Linked DNA regions of Schizosaccharomyces pombe. Changing the gene in region 1 together with any one later gene gives a genetic interaction. Each region holds a gene or a part of one and is shown in the gene's direction. Other genes may lie near its edges. The genes, in order: vps1, atg2 and atg4.

Region 1 (7,194 bases):
CTTTTTAATATTAGCTTGGGGTATCTTTCACAATAGTATGTAAAGACATAGCTTTGGAGTTTTTCAAATGACTTAATACCAATCACGCATTTTCTAAATATGAATAAGATCAGGTTTTTTGGAAAAACATTTTCCTCTATTAATTTCTGCAACTCCTTTGAAGCCTTAAGTTTATTATCTTTTACGAAAGAAGTTAGACCAATCGATTCTAAACTTTTGTAATTTTCGATGAATTTTCTGCTGCTAGTCGAGGCAGAGGAAACCGTATGTTTTGAAGAGTCTAATACGTGATTGTTTGATGACGAAAAATTTGAACTGGTGTCTGCTTCTTCCAGAAGCTTTCGAAGAGCGACTCCTATGGCTTTGTGTTTATTAATTTCTTCGATAGTAAAGTTAGTCAGCCTCTCTTCTTCTTTGAGGTCAGATTTTAAAATAAAGGTATTGTTTTTAGTGTTCTTGGTTTCTGAAACAGCTTCCGATTCCTTCAATAAGTCAACATTTGGTAATTGAAGGTTATATTTAAGTGTTGAAAATTTTGACATATCAATTTCCCGTCCTATTTCATAAAGTTTTTCTAACATATCAAAAGTTGAGTTTTTCTGAAATTCCATTAAAGAATAGTTGACACATTTTAATAAATTAAGGGGAGTAAAATCATCGAAGTCTTTATTCAATTTCACAATTCCTTCATTGTATACCAAAAAAGTATTAAAAATATTATGTTCAAGGAGAAACGATAAACAATCAGTAATTTTTAACTCTTCTATAGAAGAATTCACCTCCCTTGTGTTTTTACCCAAAATTAAAGTCATGACAGCATCTAATGAAAGCATTTCAGTTTTATCCTTTAGATGATTAATGATAAGTTGCAAGGGTGTAACTAATATAGCAACACAGTACCAGCGGAGCGAAGAATTCAAGGAAACTTCCTTAGAGAATGTTGAATTTGCTATATCCTCAATCAATAATGACTTAAGTATCTCAAATTTTTTATAAAAAAGCTCAACATTTTCATTCACCCAATGGTCAATAGTCTTTTGCAATACGGAATAAAGCCAGCAGTTCTCTGAAAAACATAGTATATATATATCACCAGCAGAACAGTTATCTTGATTGTATCTCGGTATCATGTTAATTGATAATTGCGTTAATATTTTCCTGGTACCTATAGCTTGAAGGGTACTGGTAATTGATTTTCCTAAAGGGTGCGAAGAGTCAAAAACTTTGAGCCATAAGTTTTCAATCTCCTCCAACGAAATCCAACGCCTTGCTAAATTTTTATATACAAATGCTACTTGTAAAGGCTCCAGGAGCAAATCAACAAGTAGCATATTTATCTCATGGTTGAAATAGCTATCTATATGCTCAAAAATGTCGAACATCCGTGATAAATATTTTCTTTCCCTAATAATATTTTTCCTGGCGATGAGAGCTGTGTTAGAAACAGATTCCTTTTTGGCTTCGGTTATTGGTATTGTAGTTAATTTTTCTTCCGCATGGTTTGAAGTTATCATTTTTCCTAGCTTACTGATCCTATTAATTGCATGTTTTTGAGCTTTTATGCCGTATGATTTAAACTTTGAATCAACTAGTTGGCGCAAAGCAATAAACAAATCAGTAGTATCAATATCGGCCTTTCTGTTTACTAAAGCGACCTCCTTCCTTTTCATAGTCTTCTTAAAGGAGAAGACATGTCCTAAACATTCGGACTCAAGTATTCTAATCCAACCTCCAAAGAGTTTGACAACTTCCAATCCACCGTTACCAACCTCGAGAGTTAATTTTTGATCTTGAAATGAATGATCAATAACTGCAAGATCCACACTAATTTTAGATACTTTCAATAGTTTAATGAGATTCTGGACTGGTACCAGAAGCAACTTGGCTCCCAAATTCACTCGATCTTCGGTGACAAGATTGTTGTCTTCTTTCGAATTGATGGCACAATTAGAAAGTACTACTTTAAAATTATCACTTTCGCTATCATGAAAAAATGATCGATTTTCTAAGTGGTTTTTATGTCCTTTGAATGTGAGGAAGCTAACATCGTCATCCAGTGAACAAGGGACATCAGTTGGAAAAAGAATCGACGGGTCTTTGGACCTTTTGCAGCATGATAACAGTGCACGTTCTATTTCTTCCCACTCTGCAGCGCTTTTTTGAGATTTTCTAGCTAATAAATAATTAATCAATTTTGGAAGTAAGATTGGTACCGGCAAATTATTTAATGATGTATCAACTAGTCTGATCTTCTTGTTATGGTAATGAAAAGCATGGCACAATTGGTTGGAGCTCAGAAGTGCTTTCAATCCCCCAGCTAGAGAAACAGCCAACTTATTAGGGGTAGAAATTTTCCTCAAATTGTCAGTTTCATCTTGGAATATTAGTAGATTAGCCTCTTTAATTGAAATTTCTTTGCTCTTGGCCTTTGCGTAAGCAAACAAAATTTGTACAGGTTTTAACAATAATTTGGCAAATAGCATTTCACGAGTGATATTTTTAAATAAAAAAGTAAAAATTCTTTTTAGGCTTTGCTTTTAATTAAGGATCACAGAATAAATAAAGGGTATGCCGCTTTTAAACGATTGAAACATTAATTAACGAAACCTTTGAAAGAATAAATAATTTGTCGAATTTTCTTCAACGAGCACATTAAGACAGTTTTGTTTTATTGACTTAAAAAAGACATGTATACTAAATTTATGTTGAAGACATTGAGTAAGTAGTGCATTGGTATGGTTATGGAGTAAGTGATCCTAGGAGGAGTACCAATCTTCCAGTCTCTTATTAAACGCTCGCTAGAGCATGAAGCAACCTATGCGTCGTAGCATTTGCTTAAAAATTTGGGTTTTACATGTATGCCGTTCATGTATAAACCTAACAGTATGCCGAATACAGAGAAGTTGGATTTTATAGTTAACCCAAATTTGCATCCTGTTTAGTAACAAATTTGTAAAAATTGTAATTTTATTGACAAAAAATTATTTACAAGATATCAAAGATATTGATTTGGCATTTGTATACGATAGAGGTGTCAAGAAACGAAGCAAAATGTGTAAGATTTTGACAAACTACTCCACGAGTTATACAACCATTTATTTTGATAACTAACTTTTGGAATGCTAGTATTATTTAGTTTTGGAGTCAAGAACCAAGACTTCATATGTTTCTCTATTTGTAAGTTTGCATATGGTATATTAATATGCTTTGATAAAAATTAGAGATATTATCCACTATGAAATTCGCTTCCATTTATTGCTAAAAAGGTCCCAATTGTTATTGGTTTTTTTCCAACAAAAAGCATAAATTGTTTGACGCTAAGGTGATTGCTAAAATTTGTCCAATGGCATGTGCAAATTGAACACACTTGTCGACTTCTAATCAGCAGCAAAACAGAGAATAATTAGCAAAAATTGCTGTTTCTATAAAGTCCATTCCCTTTTCCTACTGAACTAAAACTCGTTTTTGAATAAACTAGCGTATTGAGCACTGTCAGCTACGCGTAATGTAACCAATTTTTAAAACTGTGGTGGTAGTTTTATTTGAAATATACAATATTACGGTACGCAGCAAAACGCGTACTATATTATAAAGATTCTCGTAAATAGGTACTATTTTTACTTATCAGCAGAATAGCTTATAATTGTACTGAAAAACAAGGTTAAAGCAGTTTCCGTTAATTTTTTCAGTACTCAAGTATCAATGGGTAACTTTGTATTAAGATAAATAGCATTTCGCAATTATCATTAAAAGGATCTTTCCTGTTATTCCAACACAGGGCATATAGTGATACGCAACGTAGTAAAACGCAATATTAGTATATTATCGTTCGTTAAATATGGAATGATGCATCGCTTTAATATTACTTATCGAGGGTTAAACATTAGATTTATTGTCTAAAGTCTGACAACAACGTTTCAAGGGCATCACTGTTTCTTTTTTGGTAAATCAATTAGCAACACGATATTGTTAAGCCACCTTCAAGCAGCCTTACTGAAATCCGATTAGCGAGGTACTAATTTTATTCGACATATCCGAGTAAACACTACACTACCACAGCACATACCATCAGGTTTGTAACCGCCCATTCGTAAAATTGTCTATTTAGTGGATCCATAGTTGATAATGGATCCCTCATTGATTAAAGTTGTCAATCAACTTCAGGAGGCTTTCTCCACAGTTGGCGTTCAAAACTTGATTGACTTACCACAGATTACTGTATGTTGTGAATTTTAACTTAGATTGAAAAATTCACTAATAAATTGTTAGGTCGTACGGTCACAGTCAAGCGGTAAATCATCGGTTTTAGAAAATATTGTTGGGAGAGATTTCCTTCCTAGAGGAACCGGCATTGTAACAAGGCGTCCTTTGGTTCTGCAGTTAATTAATAGACCTAGCGCTAGTGGAAAAAATGAAGAAACAACTACTGATTCAGATGGAAAGGACCAGAATAATTCATCTGAATGGGGAGAATTCCTCCATCTTCCCGGACAAAAGTTCTTTGAGTTTGAAAAGATTCGTGAAGAAATCGTTAGAGAAACAGAAGAAAAAACAGGAAAGAATGTTGGCATTTCTTCGGTTCCTATCTATCTTCGTATTTACTCTCCTCATGTGCTTACTCTGACACTAGTAGATTTACCTGGTCTTACAAAGGTACCGGTTGGTGACCAACCTCGAGATATTGAAAAGCAAATTCGTGAAATGGTTTTGAAGTATATATCTAAAAACAATGCCATTATATTGGCTGTAAACGCTGCCAATACTGATTTGGCAAACTCAGATGGTCTCAAACTTGCTAGAGAAGTTGACCCCGAAGGTCTTCGCACTATCGGTGTATTGACCAAGGTTGATTTAATGGATAAAGGTACGGATGTGGTAGATATTCTAGCTGGACGTGTTATTCCATTGAGACTTGGGTATGTTCCAGTCATAAATCGCGGTCAAAAGGACATCGAAGGGAAGAAGTCTATTCGTATAGCTCTTGAGGCAGAAAGGAACTTTTTTGAAACGCATCCTTCCTATGGTTCTAAAGCGCAATACTGCGGTACTCCATTTCTAGCTCGTAAACTAAATATGATATTGATGCACCATATTCGGAACACCCTTCCCGAAATTAAAGTTCGTATTAACGCTGCTTTAGCCAAATATCAGGCCGAACTACATTCTTTGGGGGACACTCCTGTTGGCGACAACTCCAGTATTGTACTAAATTTAATTACTGACTTTTGCAACGAATATCGCACAGTTGTGGACGGCCGTAGTGAAGAGCTTTCTGCTACGGAGCTTTCAGGAGGAGCTCGTATTGCGTTCGTATTTCATGAAATTTTTTCGAATGGTATTCAAGCAATTGATCCATTTGATGAAGTTAAGGATTCGGATATTCGCACCATTTTGTACAATTCATCTGGCCCTTCTCCTAGTTTATTTATGGGTACTGCTGCATTTGAAGTTATTGTCAAGCAACAAATTAAGCGTTTGGAGGATCCTTCCTTGAAGTGTGTTTCCCTCATTTACGACGAACTTGTCCGTATTTTAAATCAATTGCTTCAACGTCCCATATTTAAACGTTATCCTCTTTTGAAAGATGAATTTTACAAGGTTGTTATTGGTTTCTTTAGAAAATGTATGCAACCCACTAATACCCTTGTAATGGATATGGTTGCCATGGAAGGTTCTTATATAAACACTGTTCATCCAGACTTTTTATCTGGACATCAAGCAATGGCGATTGTTCAAAGTCAGAATAGTAAGCCGATACCCGTTGACCCTAAAACTGGAAAAGCACTTACAAATAACCCCGTTCCTCCAGTTGAAACTTCATCATCTTCGGGACAGAATTTCTTTGGAAGCTTTTTTGGTTCTAAGAATAAAAAGCGACTTGCAGCTATGGAGCCTCCTCCACCGGTTTTAAGAGCTTCTACTACTCTCTCAGACCGCGAAAAGACTGATACTGAAGTTATTAAACTACTTATTATGTCCTATTTCAACATTGTTAAAAGGACATTGGCCGATATGGTACCTAAATCCATTTCTTTGAAAATGATAAAATACTCTAAAGAGCACATTCAGCACGAGTTGCTTGAGCAGCTTTACAAGTCTCAGGCGTTCGATAAATTACTCCAGGAAAGCGAAGTGACAGTGCAACGTCGTAAAGAATGCGAACAAATGGTAGAATCTCTCCTACAGGCAAGTGAGATTGTGTCTAACGTTTAATGATATAATGATAACAAACTGCTAAAATAACGAGGTTAAGTTACCTTATGAGATGATCTCATATCGATGAATGTCTTAATTGCTTTAAAGATCCTTGTTTTTTATTTTTCGTCACGCACTTTTCATCGCATATATTCTTGTCTTTACATGAACAATCATGTGAAGTTGCTCGCTTAAAATCGAAACTTTCGTTAAATCGATACTTATGTTTTCCTAGGGTTGTAGTGTCTTTAAATAAAGATTTCCCGAATGTAGCGTTAGGAAGACTCAATGAAGTTTTTATAAAAGTTTTTCAGTTACATTTAGATTATATTTAACGCCGATATGGTGTTATCTCAAGTTGGTTATTTTTTTTTATTAAATAACTACTCTATCAATACTACTTTATTCCCATATTTCCTGAATTACAAAATTGCAAGTGCACTCTAAAATCTCCTTAAAAAATAGGACAATTGAGTACGCAGTGTTATGCTAAATAAATACTGTAGTCTAACGTTTTTTAAAAGAAAACCACATTTGAAGTGTCGGCGTTTTATTCGTACACTGATGAGAAAATTCAGTTCAAAATACAATGACTAGTGCTGACATTCGGGATGTCTTTGAATTACCTCCTCCTGAAATAGGAAATAAGCAGAAATCTAAAACTCCAACAGAGAGAAGGCCAGAAGGAATTTCTCGAGAACTTTATTCATTGCTAGGCGAGAATTCTGCCCCGTTAGCAATATACCAAAAGAAATTTAAGGAAAAACCAAAAGTTAGTCACAAAGCTAAAAATTGGTGAGTAAATCAGAGCTCAAATAAATAAATTTGTGTATTCAGTAAGGAATTTACTAATTTGTAGGGTACGCCAGCCCTTTTCCATATCAAGCCGTAAGGATGATTTTACTTTGCATCATTGGGTCCTTAAATCAGAAGTAGATTCTGAAGCCTGTATGTTTGAAATTTTATTTGATAAGCGCTTGGTTAAACTAACCTAAACTG
Region 2 (9,776 bases), on another chromosome or scaffold:
AGCGAAGCTATATCTTCAAACATATCTCTTACTGAAAGAAATAACATAGCTTTTATGGGTACCCTCGTTCGTCATGGTCATGGGAGAGGAATAGTTGTCGCTACTGGATCTGATACGGAATTCGGTCGTGTTTTCCTTACTATGCAGCAAACTGAAAAACCAAAGACGCCATTGCAGAACAGTATGGATGACTTAGGCAAGCAACTCTCTTTAATCTCTTTAATTGGTATTGCCGTCATTGTGCTTGTTGGTTTTTTCCAAGGTAAAAATTGGTTAGAAATGCTTACAATTGGAGTTAGTTTGGCTGTCGCCGCTATTCCTGAAGGTCTTCCAATTATCGTAACAGTCACCCTTGCTTTAGGCGTGTTACGCATGTCTAAGAAGAGGGCTATTATCCGTCGGTTACCCAGTGTTGAAACTTTGGGAAGTGTTAACGTTATTTGTTCGGACAAGACTGGTACTCTAACAATGAACCATATGACAGTTACTAAAATTTATACATGTGGAATGTTAGCAGCTTTCTCCTTACCAGAAAGTGAACATATAGAGCTAAGTGTTAGGCGCACTGTTGGTATCGAAAAGGCACTTCTAGCTGCTGCTTTATGCAACAATAGTAAAGTTCATAACAAAGCTGATTCTATTTTGGACACTACTTGTCCCTGGGCTGGATTTCCAGTTGATGTCGCTTTAATCGAATGTTCTGAGCGATTCGGGTTGAAGGATCCTCGTGAAACGTACAGTCGTATATCTGAGGTTTCATTTAGCAGTGAGCGCAAATACATGTCTGTTGCTGTCCAATACAACTCTAGCAAAATGAATTTCATGAAGGGAGCCACTGAACAAGTGCTGTCAAGTTGTGCATATTTTAGCGATCAGGATGGTGTTCAACACGAGCTTACTGCGGAAATGAAGGAGAACATTCAACGTAACGAGTTTGAAATGGCTGCTTCGGGACTCAGAATTATAGCTGTTGCCAGTGGTATAAATACCAATAAACTTGTATTTCATGGTCTTTTTGGCATCAACGATCCCCCTCGACCCCAAGTCCGCGAAAGTGTACAATATCTAATGACTGGAGGGGTTCGAGTTATTATGATTACAGGTGATAGCGTTGTTACTGCAATAAGCATCGCTAGAAGTTTGGGTATGGCTATTCCTAGTAATGACGAAGAAGCAATTCGTAACTATGCGCTGACTGGAGCTCAGTTAGATGATCTTGATTCTTCCTCTTTACGTGATGCCGTTTCCCGTGTAGTAGTCTTTGCAAGAACTACACCTCAACATAAAATGAAAATTGTTGAAGCCCTTCAAAGCCTTGGTGATGTTGTGGCTATGACTGGTGATGGCGTAAACGATGCACCTGCCCTCAAACTTGCAGACATTGGTATAGCAATGGGTCGACAAGGTACGGATGTTGCCAAAGAAGCGGCTGATATGATTCTTACCGATGATTCTTTTGCGACTATTTTGAGTGCTGTTGAGGAAGGTAAGGGAATATTCAATAACATTAAAAATTTCATTACTTTCCAATTGTCTACGAGTGTGGCTGCTCTTTCATTAATCGCCATTTCGTCTGTTTTCGGCTTCCAAAATCCCCTCAATGCCATGCAAATTCTTTGGATCAATATTCTAATGGATGGACCCCCTGCACAAAGTCTCGGAGTAGAGTCAGTTGATGAAGACGTGATGATGAAACCTCCTCGTCCAAGGAATGCTCCTATTATATCAGTTCAGCTTTTACAACGTGTTTTACTCAGTGCATTTATAATAGTTACTGTCACTATTGTGGTATTTAGAGTACAAATGCAAGACGGCAATGTAACAGCTAGAGATACTACTATGACTTTTACTTGTTTTGTTTTCTTCGATATGTTTAATGCTTTAGCATGTCGTTCCGAAACAAAATCGGTTTTCAAGCTTGGTATTTTCTCTAATAGAATGTTCAATATCGCAGTCGGAGGCTCATTAATTGGTCAAGCCTTGGTAGTTTATGCTTCCCCCTTTCAGCGTATTTTTCAAACTGAAGCTATTGGACTTAAAGATGTTCTAATATTGTTAGCTTGTACCAGTTCTGTTCTCTGGGTTGACGAAATTCGCAAATGGTATCGTCGCCGTAAAGGTCTTGTTAGAACAAAGAGCAATTATCTGCTAAGGAATGTATAAATGATACGTTTTGCGGTAACAAGTTGCATATCTTTGTGCTAAGTTTAAAATTACTTAAGGAGCTTTACTATTATTTTGTGAATACAAAATTCCAATGCTATATGTATTTAAAAAATTCCTGTATTTTATTAATTTTTTGACTAATGATTATTAGCTTTCCGCTGGTTTCTTATTCTTATGGCACAAAAGGGGTTTGCTTCTCTGCCATGAAGTACTCGAGTCTATACCATTCGTTTAAAAGCTTTCATCGTTACTTTTCATTTCAGTTTTTTTTTTCGAAAATCCTGTATCTTGGTTAATTTTCAAGCACTTAGTATGTTCAGGCTTTATTATTCATCACCTTGATGCAGTCCTCACTGGTTAGTCTTAAAACCAAATTATATGATTTTATTCTGACTAAAGGTTAATCTAAAACATATTAGTTGTAGTTTCTATATAGAAACAAATAATAAAGGCTTATCAAAATTAAAGGTTTTAAAATCGGTTGTCGCTTTTCATCATTTAATTAATGCAAAAGAAAAATTATACGAGATTAAACAGCCGCGTTGCTCTAAATTGTTTTTGTATCATTATATCTTGTGCTGTTTCAAAGTCAGTTTATACATGTTTATTGAACAGTTGATTCATGTGACCGACTCGCCTTAAGTAATTTTTCTTGTCATTAACGTTTGGTCTTCAATGAGTAAATTTTCCATTCATTAGATTGTCACAAGATGTTGGCATTATTGTTTTTATTTCGTGTACATCAACGCTATCGTCGCATATTTGTCGTCCCACTACCAAAATCTGAATGAGGCAAATAAGTGTGAGATAGACACAAATTTGAACCCGAAATTCAATTAAGCAAAGGAGGATGATGAGGTTACCCTCATGGCTTAAAAATTCTTCCTCTTGGCTCTGGACGGCGGCGTTATCAAGGACTGTTCAACGTCGACTATTAGCATTTGCCTTGAGAAAGCTTATTGGATCCATTCTTTTAGAAAATGTGCAGCCTGAGGATATAGACATCCTTTTTTCAAAAGGGGTCCTAATGTTGTCCAATTTACAGCTAAATTGTTCCTTTCTGAATGCAGTGGTGTCTCTTCCAATGATTAATTTTACTAAAGGAACGTTGAGGAGATTAATTTTAAGACTGAATGTTACTGATATTGTAAATTTAAACGTTGAATTAGAAGTCAATGGCTTAAGTTTGGAAATTGAACTAGTACCTCCTGATGAATCCTTAAGCTCAACTACATATGAGGATGCTCCATCACAGCTTGATATATTGGATAATGTTGTTGAATATATGAATAAAACAGCATCGCAAGACTTTGAAGATGAGGTGATCAACGAGGGATTAGAATCTGAAATTGATGGCTCTTCACATAATTTATTGGATAGTATATTGCAAAAATGTTTGGCATCTACCTCTGTCCTTATGCAAGACGCTTTAGTTTACATAGGGACTGCAAATATGTCTACTAGGTTGGAAGCAAAACTAGATTTTATGAGCTTTTCGTCGGTTAAAAGTAACTCTACATCTCGATTACTCAATATTAATGGCATAACAGTATCCATGGTTCGGCCCATAAGCAAGAGTAACGCAGGATCATCTTCTCCTCCTCGATCTGAAGAGTCATTTGTATCGATGGATTCCTCTTCTAGTATAGTAGAGGGCTTTGAGAATGATCTATCGCCATCACAGGTCACACTAAATGAATCATCAATAATAAGCTCAAATAGAGAAGAAGAATCATTTTACTCTGTCCACGATTCTGTTACTCAGAAAAAAACAAGGACTAGCTGGTTAATTTTTCAATGTTCTGGCGAATTTAGGCTTGTTTTCAGTATTGAGTCCTCTAACTTATTGGTTATTGAGTCTCACGTCCCTTCATGTGTTCTTAATATTAACTCACAAGTCATTGCGTTTCTGTTATATCTCTACGGGTATTTTTTACCTGCTCCTTCCACCCCTGGATTTTCTTCAAATAAACCGCCTCTTACTATGTTACAACTTGATATCCACATATCTTCTGTACAAATCCTTACCCACTGTAAACTCCCCGAATCTCAGGATTTTTCTATGCATAATGATGTTGATGAATTGCTACATACCATCCCCTCAAATGGAGCTGTTTTTGAAATGAAAATTAATCAAATTCAAATCTTTAATGACAATAATGATATTGATGAACTAACGATGACTTTCTCTGATTTAGATATTTTTATGGATTCTGTTACACTGGTGTCTTTTGGTAAAAGTCTGCAATCACCATGCTCGCTGATTTTTAAAAAGCTTGAACGAATAGTGTCCTTATTCATACACATTCCTGGGGGAGAAATTTCTTTACCTCTTGGAAAGGCCTTATTACTTCAAGAATCGTTCGTGGAGTTTACTAATGATATATCCAATCTGCAAAATTTCCTGTCAAATTCAGATCCATTTAAACGGTCAATTCAAGAAACCTTTGAGGCGCCCAAACCCTTTGAGGTGGAAATGAATCAACCGAGTTTTGAGATTATTGCACTCTTTGATGAGCTTCAACTTCAAATATTGAATGAACTTTCAACTCAATCATTATACAAACTTACTTTGAGAGTATCTCACTTGCAATTTACAAGAAAATCTACAGGGTCTCTTTCATCTGTATTGATATTTGTAAAAAAAATCGGATGCCAGTCAGAGTTATTCAATTGTGAAAATTCTGATTGGACCAAGGTGTCATCATCTACTGCTTTTCACCTTTCTAATAGTTTATTTGAAACTCATGACACTACCGGGACTTCCAATTTTGCAGTTTCTATACAGCAGGAAAAGCATTACTATCCAGTATTTCAGCCTGCGCCAACCGAGTTTTCCTATCCAGAAAAGCATTTTTATTTTGCAGTCGATAACTTTAATGTTTTCATTAGCAAGGAGGTCGTTCGACTTTTCAAAACTTTATATGAAACTATTGCTTCCTCTTTGGTAACTCCAGTTACACCTAATAAGTTGGTGACTTCAGATTACAAAAACGTATTAAAAATCCGCACCAGAACATTCTCGTTATCTTTATTAAATGATGATGGCAGCTCTTTTGCTCTCAAATGCATTCGAATTAAGCATTACATGTGTTGGGCTGGTGCACAATTAATTTCATTGAGTTTACGACTTTATAATGTTTCTGCGGAATACTTATCTGAGTCTTTAGAAATTTTACCAGTCGTTTCTTTTATAAGGAACTTAAGAAATGATGAAAAGTATTTATTAAATGCTGATTTTAGCTATGCCCTTAAAAGATCATCAGGATCTAATGATAATACCATATTTGTCAAAATAACTGATCTTGGATATGAGCACTACCCTACATGCCCTTGGATTTCGGATTTATTAAAAACCTACTTTCCTCAGGATCCTGAAGTTCCATTCTTAGCATTTCCTGATTTTCCATTTAATATTAAGTTGGACCTTAGAGAGTCAATAATAGGTCTGAATCCTAGGACGCTTGAGGCGAAGTTATTACTATATTTGAAGTCACTTGATGTTGAAATTGATGCACTTGTCGCTTCAAATCCATTAAACATTCGTATCATGGCAGCTGAAACGGTAGTATACATTATTGACAAATTGAACCAAAGCGTTTTGGAAGGAAAGACTTCTGTGTTAAAACGTGAAATTCTTAACTCTTCCCTCCATTTCCCTGGACTCTCGATAAAAGATACTATCGAATTTGTTGTTAAATCTTTGGGTTATGTTGAAATATCTCAGCTAAAAAATTTGACATTGTCATTAGTTGTCAATGCTGAGGAAGGGGTTTTTTCTACCTTGATAACTGTTGATAACCTCGATGCACAAGTACAATCTTGTGCGGATAGCACCGAGTTGTTGATTAAAGTTTTGTCTGATTTAGGATCAACTGAAGATGAAGAAATATCGGATTGCTATTTGGCTCTCCCTATTGAAGACTATGCAAAATCCTTGACCGAAGTTGACTACAACTTTTTTGAAAATCGTGGCATAGATTACAAGTCCAATCCTACTGAACAGAGTACGGTGCTAGTATCTTCTGACAATGATATATCTTCGCAAGAAATTAAAATCGTAGACGATTATTATATTTCTTCAAACGAACACTCCACTCATGCCAGTGATTTGGCATCTGTTTCGTCCGAGGAATTTGTAATAGATGATGGTTCGTCATCAATTATCGATATTTCCGATGAACTTCAAGATGAATCGAGTTCCCGAGACTCCTTAAAAAAGGGTATAGAGCTTATTGAGGATTATTACTTAAGTCAAAGCACTTCAAAGCTTGAATCTTCTGTAGAAGGAAAAAATTATCTCTTAAAAGTAAAATTTAAAGATATCAACGTGAACTGGGATTTGCATGATGGTTATGATTGGGAAGCTACTCGAGCAACTATCAGCTCAGCTATCGAAAAACTATGCGATTCTTCTAGTCAAAATGATAAAATTTCTCCTGAAGCGAAAACCTTATTGTTTCAAAGCATAGTCATCAAGTCTTTTTCGAAAGTGGGAAGATTAAATATCAATCATGTATCTGAACCAATCGATTCTGATGAATTTGCTGATTATTTATCGAAATCTATTTCGTACCATTTACGCTTGGGGAAGTCAAAAAGCAAAAAGATTGGAATAGAAATTAAAGATTTACAGGGCTCTTTTACTGTATATGCTGACAGTAATGAACCTAACGCAGTACTGAACGATTTAGATATTGGTCTGAAGGACTTAATTATATATGACCATCTATCAACCTCAACCTGGAATAAATTTTTTGGACGAGATTCCAGATCTCCGTCTTCCAAGAATCGTAATCAGCACATGAATGCTCAAATTGTTACTGTGCGACCGTTACCTGAACTAAATAACAGAGAATTGAGGTTGGAATTTAGCGTTCTGCCTTGTAAAATGTATATTGACCAAGATACTTTGGATTTTTTAATACGTTTTCTTACTTTTCAAACTCCTAGTTCCTCTGAAACGTTAAACACCGAACCTGATCTACCGTTTTTTCAATCCATCTGCATAAATGCTACTCATGTAACTATCGATTTTAAATTCAAATCAGCTGATAAGGTAGGATTGAGAAGCGGAAAGCTTCCTGATTTAGGCAGCTTGATTGTTATGCAAGGTTCGGAGGTTTTCTTGCGTCAATTACAAATTTATGGACTTTCTGGTGCAGAAGAATTCCTTAATGCCCTTCTTAACGTTTGGTTGCAAGATATCCGAAACAATCAACTCTCAAAAGTTCTGAATGGTGTAGTGCCGATTCGAACAATGTTTACTGTAGGAAGAGGCATTAAAGACATTTTTGTAAGTCCAGTTCGGGGCTTGCAAGGAAACCATTCAGTCGGTAGTTTCCGGCATGGTATAATTAAATTTACTGAAAAGTACGTGAACGACTTTCTGTCTTTAAATGCGCAAGGTGCTACCGGTACGCATTCTCTTCTTCGTCAAGCCGAAAGTTATTTAGAAAGAGGAAGCAATGCTTCTGCATCTGCGTCCAGAGCCAGAAGTTATTACGCTGAACAACCTGAAACAATAGAGCAAGGGTTGAGACAAGGTTATTCTGGTTTGAAACAGGGATTACTCGGTGCCAAATCCACTTTGATGGGTCTTCCTCGAGAGACCCGCAGCCATAAATCCCTTGGTGGTGTTGCTCAAACAGTAGGTAGAAAAGTGCCATTAATTGTTCTACAGCCCATGATTGGAGCCACTGAGGCTGTTTCTAAAACGCTATTAGGCTTATCGAATTCGCTGCAACCACAGAGAAGACAGGATATGCGAGAAGTAAGTTTATTGACATCAACAGCCTGAGTTATCTTTCCTTATAAAACGATCAACGCTAACAATTCTATAGAAATACAAACGGCCTGGTTGAAATTTATATGCCTAGAAAGTATTGAAAATCCCTAAGGTAAAAGACGAAGGACTTTTTTACTCTTTGTGTTCGAACACTCTACTTGATATGATTATTTGAATCTCATTTTGGGCAGTGTGTTCGATTTTGCTACGCACTATACTGGTTACCGCTACCAGTATCGTTTGTCTTTACCTAGTTCCACCTTGCTAGTCCTGGGGCAAATATAGTAAACACAATTTGTCGGCTATTTACCCAAATAGAAAAGATGAATAATGGAACAATTACGAAAAAGGGTTGTTCGCTTTACTAACAATGATGATGATGATTTCGAGCCGGTTTTCTTGAATGAACAAGGTATGCTAATTTTGTAAGGTTAAATATAGGAGTTTGAGTTTCTATGTATATGCTTTTTAATAACATAATGTACTCTCTAACATATCTATTTCGTAGATCAAGATGCTTTCGTTGAACAACTACGTTTGACTAACAATCGGGATAATCGAATGTTTTCTATTATCTTTTCGTTCCTCTACTTGCTTTTAATAGTACCGCTGTTTTTGTATCCTGAATATTGGGCTTTTAAGTTAGTGGAGCTGTTGAGTCTTTTCTACTGTGCATATGTGATGTACTTTTTACCGTTAGAGGTTGGTCTGTTTAATCCTAAGACTCCTAACAAATGGAAGTTTCTATTTATACTGAATATTGGAGTTACAGCTTTGATTACCGTGCTTGGTTGGTCTCAGCATACGAGTTTTTTCTACGCCTTCTTAAATATTCGTACCTTGGTCTGTGGCATCACAATTTTTACGGAGATTGCACGCTATTCTATGTATCATTCAACGCTTAGCGTCGAAAAATTAGATGAGATGCGTTTTGCTCATATGTAAAAGCTGCGAGTAATTAAAGTACGATGTAACTTTGTTGTGGTCTATGGATCGTCTCTTCAATTATGTGAAATTATACGACCATTCTGTTCATACGAGACGCTTGTTTGCCTTAAAAGTTGTATATTATTATGATTATGATCTATTAAAAAAAGTAACTGTTGTTTAATGCTGAATGCTTTTTATTACGGATTTATGATGTTTGAAGGCAGCATTCAATGGCTTGCTAACTTTATACACGGGTTGCTGTGAATACCACATTCATTTATTCATTTAGTAGCAGATTCTCAATGCCAAAGAACAGAAATTTTATGATTATCTTTACTACAAAATTAGGCAGATTACCTAAAGTATTTGTTTTACAAAAGGAATGTTATATGTATGCAAAAAACTATGAACGCGCGAGGTAATTCAACTTGATTTCAAAAACTTCAATTTAATAAACAAGGTATCTTCCAACCCAAATAAAATAGGTATTTTAGGATATCAAATTGTAAATTGTCATATAAACAGAGTAATAATTTTTAACGTAAAGTTACTAAAACAAAAGCTAAACGTAGTTGTCATTAAGACATCTAAGCATCATAGGTAGTAGCACTGATGTTACCACCGTGACCGGTCCAGTTAATGTGGATATCCTTGTCAGCAGGTAAGCTCTTATCAGCAGCTTCAGGCAAAACACGGAAAGTATGGGCACCAAAGTAGTCACGTTGAGCTTGCAATAAGTTAGCAGGCAAAACAGCACTACGATAACCGTCGTAGAAGGAAAGACCGGTAGAAGTGGCAGGGACTGGAATGCCCAACATAGCGGCTTGGGCAACAACTCTACGCCAACCAGCTTGAGCCTTTTCAACACCATTAGTGAAGAAAGGATGGAAAA
Region 3 (6,182 bases), 2.9 Mb from region 1:
AAAAATCTAACGGAAGTCCTAAGACAGGAGCTACTAAAGCTAATGCCATCCTTACGACTTGAGGAAGATTCAAACTAAAATATTGTTAATTATAACGTTGAATAAGTACAGTCATACAGTTTGGGATGCAAATCTCCAAAAAGATTCAAGAGATACATAGCCAGAAGCGAATAAACCCAACCACTAAAAACATTAGCATGTATATCCAAGAAAAGAATTTTAAGGTGAAAAAGTTAGATATAAATTTTCAAACAATTTAATATCATTTATGAGAGACAAAAAACATACCCAATACCAACATAGACATCGTCAGACTCAGCAACATAGCAAGCTATTAAGTATGCAATGGCAGGAATTACTTCCAAAAATCCAAAAAACATGGCGATTGTACATAATGTTCCGTATCTGCGTTCAAAACGTGGCATAAGAAGAAAAATTCCTAAAAGTCCTAAAATGAAAGAAATTACTCCATGATGAACGAGCGGATATGTGTTTAGGGTATGAACTGCGTACTTTGTCAGTTTGTTTCAGGAATATATATTTATTCTAACATACGGCGAATGTTTATTAAATTATGCCAGCTTAGGCCAAAAAAGTCAACGATAGGCAAGAAAATGTTTACGATTCCAAGAATGATAGTTAACAGGGCAACAATCACAGTGAAGAGTGGAATTTTCATAAGGAAAAGTTCCGCTAAAAATCCGACCGATGTCGAAATACGTTCTCCTAGTTCAATGGCCATGCTATTTATTAATTAAGTTACACCTTTTACCTTCTCTCGGTAATAATTCGTCTAAAATATTCCCTTTTTAAAAAAGTTTTAGGAATATTGACTTTGTTGGTTTATAGCAAGGTAAAGTAAGCGCTGGTTATACCAGCCAAGGTGTATATGAAAGTCAATCGCAATACAAGTTCGACTAACCAATTATTTTTCAAGGGAAAATATTGAGTTTTATATAATTTTACATACAATGACTATTAAGAATTTCCATCTGCTAAAGATAAAGGTAGTAATTAATCACAGTTTTGCAAATAATCGCAATCGAGTGAAGTAAACAGCAAATATAATTATTATGATTAATTGAAATAAGATTCATTGTAAGTAGAATTATATAAAGCAAATCTAGCAAACAGTAAACAGGGTGTTCATTTTTATGAAAATACAGACAAATAATTCCGTTAAATATATAAAGACAGCCTAAAACAATAAAACTAGGTAGAACCTTTTATACATACATTAAGTCAAATAAATAATTCGTGTCTTCAACTTCACATTCAAATCTTTCTCAGCGACCAGTGTAGGTGTTATCTATATTATAACCGTTTTTTTAAATATCTTTCCCTCTTATTAATGTCTTTACGAGACTTCAGGAAACTATGCCTTAAATTGTTAAGTGATTTATTTAAATACATAACAAGAGGATAATGTTAGGAAACATCAAACTAAAGTCGAGGGTCCTCAATCACCTCACTTAAGCAAATTATTAAAGCATCGTCTGGCACTACAGGAATCAACCATCCAGGCTCTTTCCAAAAACTATCTGTTTCAGCTGGAATAGACTTCTTTTTAGTTTTCCGGGAATAATTTATCACCCTTATGGCCCCATAAACGTCCAAGCTGTAATCCTTTTGAATTTTCTTGATATCCCAATCGTGAACGATTTTGCAATGTTCAAAACAAAAAACTGGTTCATAGAAATTAGTGCAAAATATACATTCCACAGATAATGGTTCTGCATCCTCATCATTTATACTGTAAAATGTTAAAAAAAAAGGAATATTTGAATACATACTCAGATATAGTATCATCAGTTTCATTTATGTCTTCATTAATTGCAAACTGTGAATGCGAAATGGTGATACTTTTTGTAACAGAAGCATAATTTATAATATAGAACTCATCGTATTCTGACGATTTTGGGTCAAGCCGGAAATGCCGCTTGTTATTCATGTGTTCTCGTAAAAGCTTTTTATTTTTGCAAGGGACATGACAGCATAGACATCTAAAACTTATCAAACGATGTTAGAATATGACGGAAAGAAGTAATAACACAAATAAAACTGATAAATATGATTACCTTTCTAGTTCATTCTTTATCTTTTCAAGTAACCGATTTATGTAAACAATATTGTCTGCTAATCCGATATTAAGCCCGTGAACGTGAAAACTATGTTCAAACCATTCTTGACGGTTTAAAAGACCTTCATTATTACAGAACAAACATTGTAAGGATTTTATTTTTCCCTCTCTCCGTTCTTTTTGCTGTTGCCTTAAGACTCGTTTAAGTGAATTTTCTTGAGCAATTTGTAGTAAAAGTATTTCTTGGTCTTTCAAATTTGGATTCTGGTTGAGCTCATTGGCAATCTCTGATGCGCATAAATAAGCATTCTTAGCTAACGTCTGTACTGACGAATTGTGTATAGTTGTAAGGTGGCTTATAAAAGAAATCGAGTCACCAGCAAATTCACAATCAAAAGGGCATCGAATTATTATAGCATCGTCGGAACTCATTCTAGTCGGTGTTCTTGAAATTCATTGAAGTTGCCCAATGACCAAGTGTCTTAATTTTTATTCTTTTAAGATATATTAAACAGTTTCAAGTCTAAGTAATGCGGAATTCAATAAATAATAATTTACTTCTTTAGTTTTAGTCCCTTCTTCCTTAGATCACCGATAATATCGTATGGATATGCATAGAATAGGCCAAGTTATCCAGCAGTGAGGCTAAAATTACACATTGCGTTAATCAACTTTAAAATTATGAGAATAATGTAGTAACAAAAAAGGATAATTAAAACGAGTTCTCTAAAAAATATTTATAGTACTGACTACTATCGAGCATTTCTACTTTTAAAAAGCACATTTAAAAGATATCACTCTTATGTGGATTCTGTATCTTTTTTAAACTGTAATTGTTGGTAATATCTTTAAAATGAAAACATATATCGCATGGAAAGCTACTAATTCATGTCCTTTATTTTGAACAAATATCAATCGATAATATTTTTGTCTCTAGACTCAAAACTGTTCATTTATTCGTTTGCTCGGTGATGGAGCAAGCCTGAACTTCATTTACTACGGAGATTTTTGCGTTGCTCCAGTTATTGTATCACATTATTTACTTTTCGTATAATAAAGCAGGTCGTAAGTACTTATCGTAGTTTAACGTAATATTATGTAAGCTACGCAGTTTGGTATCTGATTTAAGGATACGTAGAACTGCGGTGAGTTTTCCTTGTGGTCTATTATATTACAATACACAGGTTGTATAAGTAGCAACTGAGTATAGGTATTGTATTAACTGGATTATAATGTTACCTATCACTAATATAGCTCATAACTGAACTGAGGAACGAGGTTCAGTTGTAACGCTATTTATAATATTTCTAAATAGTTGTTATCAACGGGTATCTATGTATATAGACGGATAGTTACCCGTGATTATCAATAAACGGATCTTAGCTAGTATTCCAACATATGACATATAGTGATACGCAACGTAGTGTATCATAGCGTAGTGTAGTATTGCTGACATATTAAAGTTAATTAAAATATTTGAAACAATTCCACAAAATCATTTACGAATACTAAGGTGTTTGTAAAGTTATTTAGCAGACCATAGTAGTACTCGCAAACATGACTTCACTCCCACCATATCTTATCCCAAACACTATATTAATCAAGTTAGCCTTTGCTTAGTCTAAAGGGGGTGTATGTACGCTTTCATGTGAACATCTGACGACGTGAAGTTTGGTTTAAATATTTTGAGAAAAAATAAAGGTAATAGAAAAAAATTTCAAAAAGGGGAATGGAGCTTATGGCTCGCTTTCTAGAGCGATATTTACATTTTGCACCGACAAACACCGAGCCTCCAGGGACATTAATTTGGTTTTTAGGACATTCTTACAAAATTGAAGATAGCCAATGGCCTGAAAAATTTTTATACGACTCATTCTCTCTTATTACAATCACTTATCGTAGTGGTATTGAAGGGCTTGAAAATATGACATCTGACACCGGTTGGGGTTGTATGATTCGATCCACTCAGACACTATTAGCAAATTGTTTACGAATCTGCTATCCTGAAAAACAATTGAAAGAAATATTGGCACTATTTGCTGATGAGCCTTCAGCCCCTTTTTCTATCCATCAATTTGTTACAATGGGCAAAACTTTGTGCGATATTAATCCAGGGCAATGGTTTGGACCTACAACATCTTGTTCTTGTGTTGCGTAAGTGTTTCTTGTTATTTAAATTGAGTTTTCTGGTCGATAAAAGAACAATTGATCTCTTCACATAGTTCGAATTTCTTCCGTTCTTTTTTATCCTTTTTAAAAAAAAGAAGAAAAATTTTGAACGTTTTATTTTTTTTTTGGAATTCAGTCAGTATGACATTTACTAACTTTTTGTTAAAGTCGATTAAGTGATCAGAACCCGGACGTCCCATTACACGTTTATGTTGCCAGGAATGGAAATGCTATATACCGAGATCAACTTTCAAAGGTCTCCTTTCCTGTTTTACTTTTAATTCCTACCCGTTTAGGAATTGATTCAATTAATGAATCATACTACGATCAGTTGCTTCAGGTGTTTGAAATTCGTTCATTTGTTGGCATCACTGGAGGTCGTCCAAGGTCTGCTCATTACTTTTATGCAAGACAAAATCAGTACTTTTTTTATCTGGATCCTCATTGTACTCACTTTGCTCACACTACCACCCAGCCTGCTTCCGAGGAAACTTTTCATAGTGCTACTTTACGAAGAGTAGCAATACAAGATCTTGATCCCTGTATGATCTTTGGGTTCTTAATTCGAGATGAAGAAGAATGGCATTCATTTGAAGCGAATCAAAAATATTTTGCCGACATAGTTCAGATTTTCGACTCCGAACCTCAACCAGTCGAGACACATGATGATTTCGTTTTGGATGAGAATGTTGAAGATCATCTTTAATCCATTGTTTACTACTGTTTCAAGTTTTATTTATAAATTTGAAATTATAATACTAACGACTTCGCATTTATGACATATGTAATTATGAACTGACCCTAGTAGCATTTACGCTTTGGGTTTAGTAACTTAATGAATAATTATTTATCCAACGTTTTTCAAGGAAATTTATTATCCCGGTTTCTTGAATTCCTTCTCCATCCCAAATCGGCTAAAGGGATATTTTTTTAATCGTTAAGCGTTTAGTTGTGCTTGTGCTATTATTTGGTCAGTGTTTCCCTTCTATTCAACCGGTCTCCTTATTGTTAATTTCATGCTTTATCTTTGAAAACTGTTAAACAATGAGTCTGTTTGATTTTTTATTAAATGTGCGTATTTGAAATGGATGTTTATGTGTTATATTTCGTGAGGATTTTGTTCTTGTTTTTAATGTCTCTTTGTTACGCTTTTCTTTTCATCTGATGTTCTTCCCTGTGAGTAAATTTCAAAAACTTATATTATACAATGTGCATTACTAAGATGATTGGACAGCAATCTCAGAATTTCTCATTTCTTTGCTTTTGCTTACCTGAGATAAATATTGTGATCTTCTCAAATGCCCTTTCCTGAGCTACTTAGCTTAAAGTTATTTAAGTAATAATAAATTAAAGCATATTCTTTTTTTTTTATTACGGGTATTCTGATCGAGCCTTTTCTCTATTTTAGTATATCAGTTAAACTAAAGAGTAAATATGGGCAAAAATTTTAGTAATACGGTTCATTCGTAACGATAGAATACTTAAAACCTTTTTCACCTGAATTTATAAATCTTTATTAATAATAATGATATATTAAAGAGTAGAATACCACTTTTTTCTTTAAGTTCCTCGTAACATTGATAAACATTATCACTTGTCTAATAATACCTCAATATTTAGCTGCTATTATCACGTCATAAATGAGGGCTCGCTTAACTACAAATAGAGTGAGGACGAAGATCTTTCTGGTTGTTTGCTGCTATAAATATGTTTTAAAAGCTAGAAAATAGTAAAAAATTAAGAAAAACTTACTTCTGTTTAGTCAAGTTTACAATTTCGTACAAGAAGTATTTCAATGCCTGTTTTTGTTAAAAAAATTAGGAAACCTGGTTACTAATAATAACGAGTTGCTTCCTAAATTCGTTATTGCTTTTAGCGAATTTCAAAACGAAGGATGTGTCTTTTTTCTACAGATAGAAAACCCATCTCATTC

What was found.
Region 2: mutations in vps1 (region 1) and atg2 impair growth when combined (synthetic growth defect), as found in Schizosaccharomyces pombe (one study listed by BioGRID).
Region 3: mutations in vps1 (region 1) and atg4 impair growth when combined (synthetic growth defect), as found in Schizosaccharomyces pombe (one study listed by BioGRID).

The regions. Positions count from the first base shown.
Region 1 is NC_003424.3:1,996,274-2,003,467, reverse strand, and holds vps1 (dynamin family protein Vps1), read left to right. Parts: upstream 1-4,052; 5' UTR 4,053-4,125; coding exon 4,126-4,218; exon of another isoform or gene 4,219-4,269; coding exon 4,270-6,213; 3' UTR 6,214-6,694; downstream 6,695-7,194. Other genes in the region: poly(A) polymerase Cid16, read right to left, coding at 1-2,483; Swr1 complex/NuA4 histone acetyltransferase complex subunit Swc4, read left to right, coding at 6,785-6,990, 7,055-7,143.
Region 2 is NC_003423.3:232,757-242,532, reverse strand, and holds atg2 (autophagy-associated protein Atg2), read left to right. Parts: upstream 1-2,933; 5' UTR 2,934-3,019; coding exon 3,020-7,939; exon of another isoform or gene 7,940-8,009; coding exon 8,010-8,030; 3' UTR 8,031-8,056; downstream 8,057-9,776. Other genes in the region: P-type calcium transport ATPase Pmr1, read left to right, coding at 1-2,163; SPOM_SPBC660.17C (uncharacterized protein), read left to right, coding at 8,285-8,366, 8,463-8,899; gnd1 (phosphogluconate dehydrogenase), read right to left, coding at 9,472-9,776.
Region 3 is NC_003424.3:4,894,332-4,900,513, forward strand, and holds atg4 (Atg8 deconjugator Atg4), read left to right. Parts: upstream 1-3,688; 5' UTR 3,689-3,809; coding exon 3,810-4,234; intron 4,235-4,417; coding exon 4,418-4,955; 3' UTR 4,956-5,681; downstream 5,682-6,182. Other genes in the region: rbd4 (rhomboid family protease ), read right to left, coding at 1-74, 118-183, 289-505, 556-742; SPOM_SPAC19B12.07C (zinc finger protein), read right to left, coding at 1,444-1,753, 1,794-2,009, 2,079-2,512. UniProt on the Schizosaccharomyces pombe protein: Cysteine protease that plays a key role in cytoplasm to vacuole transport (Cvt) and autophagy by mediating both proteolytic activation and delipidation of atg8.